Linked DNA regions of Callithrix jacchus. The protein of the gene in region 2 interacts with the protein of the main gene of each other region in a biochemical or structural test. Links are inferred from orthologs where the notes say so. Each region holds a gene or a part of one and is shown on either strand. Other genes may lie near its edges.

Region 1 (4,461 bases), on a different chromosome or scaffold from region 2:
AAGCACAGTTTAAAGAACAGTTTGAAAGGCATATGAAATGTGTTATCTCTACAATAAAAATATAAAAACTCAATTAAATTAAATCTCAATCAAATTTATTAAATTAATTTGTTAAATTTATATAAAATATAAAAGGTCAATTAAATATTCTTGGTTAATAGGAGTACACAAAAGAATGAGAAACTACTCTGAGTAAACCCTACAATCAATGCATGTTTATCAGCTATACCTTGTTGTCTATGTGCATATGACACCACTTCTATTGTTATTTTGACTGCATATCATAAGCAAAAGTGTTTTGTTTTAAAATTAGTACATGGTTTATTTCTAAACAAAATTTGATTTTATCATTACAGTGTAGCACCAAAAAGAGGAAATGAAATGTTTATGTTTATCAAAAAGGACTCTCAATTCAAAAACCTTGAGAAACTCTGATAAAAGGCAATGTATCCTTGTATCTTCCCTCTGCAGCACATTCTGGCTATCACTCTAACAGTCTCATAAGACTTTGAGGCCCCAGTGTACCATTTGAAAGACACCATAAGGGAACTCCCAATTTGCCCAGTATTTTCTGCTACTTTACAGGGAGGTTTTCATGGAGAACTAAGGGTCATAAAAACTGCATTTATGCAAGATTCACTTTGGGCAAAAAGTTAAATGCTTGAGAATTTCTCATCTGCCTAAGTTAATTCCTTATGTGGTTCTGGCCTACACAGGCAAAAGGCTAAAGTTGTCCTTCTGTCTTATATATTGTACTGAAGGCAATCTTTTGCAGAAGGTAAGATACACAATACTATTCCTGTTTTATAAATATGGAAAGTGAGACCCAGAGAATTTGAGTGACTTTCCCAGAGTCCACACCCTAACCCATCGATGTCCATTCAGTTTCTTACAGTAAAGAACAGAATTTGCCTTGACAGTGTGTTGATTCAAAAATATTTGCTGAGTGCCTATTATGTGTTTCTGTGTTCCTGGTGATGGAGACAATGTCTCTACCCTCATGGAGATTATATTTTTGCAGGAGCGTCCAGCAATAAGTAGGTAAGTAAGCAAGTTATCAGATAGTTTAAAGCTCTTTGAAGAAAAGTAGAGATGGAGCGAGTGTATCAGGGACAGGGAGAGAGCAGTTGTTCTAGGTAGTGGTCAAGCAAGTCCTCTCTGAGGGAGGAGACAGTTGAACAAACATGTGAACAATAAGTGCAGAAATCCTAAGTGGGGGCATTTTTTAGGAGCTTGAGAAATGGCCAGGAGCCCAGTGAGGCTGAAGCCTTAGGTGTATCTTGACTCTCACTATACCCTGTTGTCCCTCCTCTGCCCAGACTTGTTTTGTACTTTCTTTTTCACCTTTGGGTTAAGGAGCATGTTATCTCCTTTGTCAGCTTCCCTAAAGCAGTACCTTTCACCTGCCCACTGCACCTTCTTTCAATGAGAAAAGAGCCTAAGAATCCCAGCTGGTTTTCTTTGCCCTTCCCTAGGTTCCACATGGAAACAATAATGATATAAGCAAAACATAAAGATTCAAGCCCAAGACAATCAATAGCTTCCACGTATTTCCCTTGAAGCCTTTATGAAAAATGTATTTAGAGCATGATAGGAGAGCTGCAACAAACAAGGCTTGACCATTTTTAATAACCAATATACAGTGAAAATCCTCTAACACCAGCATCGGGATCATCTTTCTTCACTGACCCATAAGGTATTTCAAACTCTTGTAGTGTATCATCAGATGCTGAACTTACTACCAAGCATTTAACCTCATTTGGTTTCTGTCTAGAACCTACTATGCAGGGTTGTTGTTTTCATGGATTTTTTTATTCCGCTGACAATAATGCTTGAGCTAGCTAGGTACTTCCTTAGAAATGCCCCCATGATTCCTAAAAGAAATCAACTGAAAAGAGGAGATATAATAATAATAATATATCTTTAGTATTATTCAATGGATAAGAAAACTGGGGGACTGAAAGGTTAATTTGCCCAGGTCACAAGACTAACATCTGACTAGCGCAGGACTACATCTCAGATCTGCCTGACTCTGGAGCACTGGAGCAACGACACAGGTGAATTTGATTCAAAATGAAGCCTTAGACTGAGACATGCCTAGGCAAAGGGCAAAGCTGAATCATAACAAGGGTGTTTTCCCTCCATTCCCTTTAAGACTACTGTGAGTCCTAATGTTTATCAAGAAGGATCCTATTTCTGAAATCCCCTGCCCCACCCCTCACAGACACTACCTTTCTAAAGAATGCTACATCAGCAGATCCAGAGAGATGATTTTACTTTCACACATCCCCCTCCTCTCTCAGCATCTTGACCTAACTGGCATTGCATTCTTAAAGTAATTGACTGTTTCTTAATCTGCCTCCTCTCTCTGAATGTCATGCTCTTTCTTTGGGATGACACTTCAAAAGTCATTTAAAGAGAGCTAGAGTACGGAGCCACCCGATAGGAGTTAAAATGGAAGTTGGGAGCCTGGGTCTTTCTTGGAGCAAAGGTAAACTTTAGACCATATTTCACCACCCTAAAGGGCATTCTCTGCAGCTGCCCCAAAAGCCCCTGGTGAGGGCCTTCTGGAGAGCAGGAGGCCCAGGGAATGAAATCCCCAGCGAGGGACTCAGGCGAAAGTGTGTTCCCTCACGGCCCTGGACTAGACTTGAGGGTGGGTCATGAAGAAGGCCTCAGCAAGCTGCTAACGCCAGCACCCTTGCCCGCCTCAGCCTCTGCCCTGGCCTCAGCTGCCAGTGCCCACCATCCACATGCTCAGCAGGCCCCTGCCTGCCACAGAATACTCACAGCACACACAGGCAGTACACGCCTGGCACGCTCTCGCTGTCCCTCAGCAAATAGCTGCCATCCAGCCCAGTGGCGAGCAGGAGCTTCTCGCCGGTCTCCCTGCTGATTTTCCCGTGATACACAGCCACTGCATCCATGGCCTGGTGGACTCTCGGGCAGGCCGAGGAGGAGGATTGTACAAGGGAGATGCCGCTGCTACTGCAGCCAGGCACAGATCAACCACCTGACTCCCAGTTCAGCCAGATGTGCAAAAAAGAGAGAGGCACCCAAACAACAGGATGTTGTCTACTTGCCTTAAACCTCCTTCTCACACTTCAATTAAAACCAGCTCAGCAATTTAGTAGCTTGGTTTAATCGAGCTTGCCAAGGGCTTCCATCTCCTGCCCCCCAACACAGGGTTCTTACAGAGGGGAGGAAAATTAGAAGAAGGATTTTGCAAGATTTGAGCTGTACTGCCAACACACACCCTTGCACGCAGATAGGGATGCTTAGTAATGCTTCTGTTCTTGCAGATTACTCAGAGGCCACAAGGAATAACTTAGCTCAACCAGCCGGTAAGGAGTTGATGATAGAGGCAAGTTATACATGTCTCTGTCGGTATGTGGACCCATCATGTAGGGCAGAAACATACTGACAGAATGAAAGGACCAAAAGCTCTGAGAACAAAACACTAATAGTTTTATTAGTACTGTCATTATGCAATCATTACTGAACACGGCCATGAAGACTCCTACAGAATCAGACATAGCAGATGAACAGTGAACTTTGGGCAAGTTCTTTTTCTCCTTCTTCCTTCTACCTCATGCAGTCATCTTGAGAAGTCTTGGTCCTGACCAATATTGATTTCTTTCCTAACACCTTGTCCAAGGTCCCAAAGTGCTAGTTGAGATACAAAAGTCACAATGCACATCCAAAGATGTTCCAGATTTAAGTATTTGATGGGCTTTAGATGAGACAATGTAACATTTAACTGGTGATTTGTCTTAATGCAAATTTGTATGTGCCCTTTGGTGTATAAGGCCCACCTTTCAGCATTTTGTCCAAAAAATCTGTTTTAAATCATTTGCAAGCGTTGATAATTTTGTTGTAACTTTTATTGTCTGTTGTTTCTAAACAATGTTATTTCTTCGATTGATGCTAAACTGTCTTTAATATTTTAAAACCTTTCAACCTCCATTTTCTTCTCTGAAATAAAGCATTGCTTCTATTTCAAAATGTGCTAGGTAATATTTCCCCAAAACTTCTTGCATTTTCACTAGAGTAAGAATTTATTGCTGAAGCTGAATGGTCTTATACATGTACCTTTAGATTATGCAAAGTACTTGTAAAATTGGAATTAAAATAACTGAAGCTATGTGATCTATTATATGCTTTCTGCAACTTCAGCGTGTAGTTCTTTGAGAATATGGCAATGCTGGGAGCTCAATAGGGAGAGCAATACTTAATTCCTCACATGTCTTACCAATGGATTGCAGGTACAGAGCTGACTTGCACCAAAGGCAGATATTTGCTCTTCATCGACTAGGGTTAGGAAAAATCCTCTAAGATTTCAGTGATAGCTGGTAGCAACTTTTCTTCTTGATTGAAGAGTGCCCAGCCTTACTATGCAAAGTATAAACATAAATCTCCTACAGTCATTTTCAGCATTAAGATTTAATAAAAAAGCATTCA
Region 2 (4,565 bases):
CGTGGAGGTTGTAGTGAGCCGGGATCAGACCTCTGCACTCCAGCCTGGGCGACAGAGCGAGACTCTGTCTCTAAAAAATAATAATAACGATAATGATATGAAATAAAAATGTATATGATAACCTGAATCATATGAGAGAACACCAAACCCAGATTAAGGAACCCTCTACAAAACAATTGGCTTATCCTCTATCGAGAATGCAGTATCATGAAAGATGAAGAAAAGCTGAAGTATGGTCACAGACTGGACATGAGAAACATAACAACTGAATGTGATACATGATCCTGATTGCATCTTGGGTCAGCAAAAAAATAAACTAAAATAAAGCATATTCTTGGGACCATGGGTAATAGGTGAATATGGGTGGCATATTTGATGGTATTAACGTTAAATTTACTAAATTTGATAATTGTGCTGTAGTAATGGTGAAACCCATCTCTAATAAAGATACAAAAATCAGCTGGGCATGGTGGTGCATGCCTGTAATCCCAGCTACTCAGGAGGCTGAGGTAGGAGAGTTGCCCGAACCCAGGAGGCGGAGGTTGCGGTGAGTCGAGATCGCGCCATTGCACTCCAGCCTGGGTAACAAGAGCGAAACTCCGTCTCAAAAAAAAAAAAAAAGAATGCCTTTGTTCATAGGATATAAGTGCTAAAATATTTAGGAGCAAAGGGGCATAAAGTCACAACTTATTCTTAAGTGGTTCAACAAAAATTATTATACACACATACGCATACAGCTAGAGAAAGAGAAATAAAGTAAATATGATAATGTGTTCCCTGGTGAATCTAGGTGAAAAAATTCAAGAATCCTTTGAACTATTTTTGCAGCTTCCCTGGAACTTCGCAATTATTTCAAACTAAAAGGTTTAAAAATTAAATAAATAGGGAGGCTTCAGTCAGCTTACACCAGGCCAGCCTCACAGACACAGGACAGAGGAGGAAGAACCTCAGGGAGACCCAAGTCCATCCCTCTCTGTGCCTGAGTTACTCACCAGCTTCACCCTACAAGGGCCAGCATAGCTAAGCCCAGATATGGCGCTGAAGACCTGGGAATGGGGCTGGAGGGAGCATTGCCCTCTGTCACACAGGCTCATAACCTCAGCTTCTCGGTCATGCTCATCCCCACAGCCAGGCACCAATCCCATCAGTCCTCCTTCAGCTCTCTGAACTGCTTTCAAGGCTCCTTAGACCAGATTCCAACCTAGCTCTCCTGCCCGGAATCCTGGGCCACTGGGTCCCCGCTGCCCACTCACAAGAGCTTCAGGCTCCACACCTCCCTCCCTGCTCCCTGTCTCTCATCAGGCTCTGCCCTAGGCTTCCTGTATCCTTACAAATGTCGAGTCCACCTGAGCCTTGACCACATCTTCCTGAAGGACACAAGAATGCTCAGGGACTCAGTAAGTGAACTGAGTACCTGGGCATGGAACTTTATTGCATATGGGGATTGTACCCAGCCCTGAACCCACACACTATGCCTCAGTTTCCCCTCTTTGTGCCCAGAGTGTACCCTCTTCTCACTCCACACTCTCCACCCCTGTGAAACCCCTTTAGAGTCACTGATCTAAAATGCAAGATCCCAGTCGGGCATGGTGGTTCACACCTGTAATCCTAGCAATTTGGGAGACCAAGGTAGGCAGATCACCTGAGGTCAGGAGTTCAAGACCAGCCTGGCCAACATGGTGAAACCTGGTCTCTACTAAAAATAAAAAAATTAGCCAAGCATGGCGGCACATGTCTGTAATCCCAGCTACTCAGGAGGCTGAGGTGTAAGAATTGCTTGAACCCAGGAGGTGGAGACTGCAGTGAGCCGAGATCATGCCACTGCACTCCAGCCTAGGAGACAGAGGGAGATTCCATCTCAAAATAAATTAATTAATTAATAAATTAAATTAAATGCGGGATTCAGGTTTCAGAGCATCCTGGACTCCAGGGCTGGAGAAAGAGAAGAGCAGCCCTCAGCTGGGATCCCCGGGAGTAAACATTCGATGGCTCCGTGCCTGGCTGACAGCTTTAGGTTTGCTGTGGAGCTTCCTCATATTGTCTCCTTCTCCGCCCCAAGCAAACAAGTCCCTAATAATTTCCAGGCTCCTGTGGCATCTAGGTGGCTGAAGAAACCGGGGAGCTGAAGGACCAGGCCATGCAGCTTCTTCCTGGCTGCTGGCCTCACCCTCTCCTCCTCGGGCTCAGCTCTCCTGCCTCAGGGATCCATCTGTCTGTCTCTGAGCTCCAGAACCACACAGCTTCCTTGGAACTGCTTCTCCTCTCTCATGCCACAATTGGAGGATGCAATTTTCTTCATCTTTATAGGCAACTGGAAGAAGGCTTGTCTCCCCACTACATGGAAAGGTAAATCGAAGCCAGTGGGAAGGAATCTCCTTACCCAAGACTTCCCGGATTGCAGGCAGCAGGGCAGGATGCCCCTCTCACAGATTTGCCAGTGTACTGCCAGCCTGTCCTGTCTGATTTAGAATGTCAGAGCTGTCAGGAGCTGCTCGGAGTCACAGTTCCAGATGACTGTGTATGTGGCACAAGCAGTGGCTCTGGCTCTGATCTCTCCGAGGGGCACAGTCCTTAGCCCATCATGTGAGTCCCCCACCCCATGCAAGGTAGGACCTCCTTACCTTTTCCCTGATACCCCTTGAGGAGCAGGAGGAGTGTGAGGGTGACCACTTGCCCCAGCATCCCCACAGGACAGCGGGACCAGGCCAGCCCCTCCACCCCACCAGACACTGTGCTGTGCACGGGCTCAGCAGCCCCCAGTCAGCAAGAGGACGATGGGGAGCAGTCCAGCCAGTTTCCTCAATTCGAGGCGTGAACACCTGCTGTGAGCTGACAAGGCCACTGAGAAAGCCCCAGCGCCTGGAGCTGGTCTGCTGGTTCCCACAGCCAAACTAGTGAAACTTACCTCAAGTGGGAGGGTGCTTGAAGCTCACAGTGACTCACAAAGCCAGTTTCAAAATCGCATCTCTTTCTCTGCTTCAGCCCAAGAAATGTTCCAATTCTCTGAATCCTACTGGAAATATGGAGACACCCATATGGGGGCCAAACAGCCAGCATCCCAGGCTGTTCCATTCCAACAGACGTTGTGGAGATGGAGTAAAGAGGGGCTGGAGAAGGAGTGGGCTGAGAAGCAGGATAAGTGGCTAACAATGTTGAAGGAGCGGAGTAGTAGCTGAGGAACAAAGGAGAGATCTAAGGGCTGGAGGCACCAGAAAAATCTAACAAGCCTGGGGATTCTATGCAAGTTGACACCACAGCTTAAGCACATCCAAATTAAATTTATTTCATAAGAATTTGTTTTGCACCTAGCTTGGTGGCTCACACCTGTAATCCCAGCACTTTGGGAGGCTGAGGCAGGCAAATCACTTGAGGTCAGGAGTTCAAGACCAGTCTGGCCAACATGATGAAACCCCATCTCCACTAAAAATACAAAAATTTGCCAGGCACAGTGGCATGTGTCTGCAATCCCAGTTAATTGGGAGGCCTAGGCAGGAGAATCACTTGAACCCATGAGGCAGAGGTTGCAGTGAACCAAGATCACCCCATTACACTCCAGCCTGGGCGACAGGGAGAGACCCCATCTCAAAAAAAAAATCTGTTTTGCTCCACATTTCCGATCTGTGTGTCTAGATTACCTCCCTTCCTCTTTTTCTACTTTTCCATGGTAGTTCTCTTTTCTCTCTTTTGCCTTCTCCCAAAAATGACATGGGTCTATTTTTGCTGCCTTTCCATCCATGTTTGGATGCGACCCTCCAGGGAAGGCCAGGCAGCTTTGGATCTGCTCAGGCCCCCATGAAGGGGTGGGGACAGCGGCTTCCCCGCCCCCCTGGAACATTGTGCTTCAAGGCCAGGCCACAGGGTTCATGCCTTTCTTTCTTCCTTCTGCTTTCCCCTTAATGACAAATACTTTCTGTTCCCTTCCAGTTCACCCTTCTTCCCTTTTTCCATGCTTTGATCCACTTTCAGCCACCCTGTCTGAACTGGGCAGGGGGCAGCAGACTGACAGCTTCCGCTGCCAATGGAGGCAGCAGCGGGGCTCTGGACAGAGCACTGGATTTAAAGTCAAAGACTTGGACTTCAGGCTCCCATTCAGCAACTTACAACCTTTGTGACTCTGGCCAAGTTACTCTCTGAGCCTGTAGGGTCAACAATACCTGCTCCCCACCTTCACAAGGTAGTTTTCAGTATCAAATTAAAAATGAAACTTGAGAATACGCATACAAAAAACAATGGACATAGGTGAGGTTTTGTGGTTTTGTTTTCATTTTTTTTTAAGCCCTGAGTAGCATTTTCCAGCTGGTCTAATGGTTATCATCTCTTCTCTCCTCTGTCTCCTTCCAAGGGCCAGCCCTCAACCCCGGGGAATTTCCTCAATGGGTCCCCAAGACCACCCATTTCTGAGACAAATTGTAAGTTTGAGTTGATCTGGCCATGTCCTTAACCTTGAGAAGTGGTGCACAAGACATAATATAACAAAGAAGGGTAAACTTCCTCACATGACAGGTGGAAAACAAGATCCAACTGTTGGAAGCCACTGATGAATATGAATTAGGAATCAGCCTCTC

Evidence for each region.
Region 1: the proteins of CD244 (region 2) and SH2D1A interact in a biophysical measurement, tested with the Homo sapiens proteins (2 studies listed by IntAct). The link is inferred for Callithrix jacchus from reciprocal best matches to the Homo sapiens genes CD244 and SH2D1A.

The regions. Positions count from the first base shown.
Region 1 is NC_133524.1:120,100,157-120,104,617, reverse strand, and holds the start of SH2D1A (SH2 domain-containing protein 1A), read right to left. Parts: upstream 3,016-4,461; 5' UTR 2,928-3,015; coding exon 2,791-2,927; intron 1-2,790.
Region 2 is NC_133519.1:20,771,425-20,775,989, forward strand, and holds the start of CD244 (natural killer cell receptor 2B4), read right to left. Parts: upstream 2,873-4,565; 5' UTR 2,683-2,872; coding exon 2,622-2,682; intron 1-2,621. UniProt on the Homo sapiens protein: Heterophilic receptor of the signaling lymphocytic activation molecule (SLAM) family; its ligand is CD48.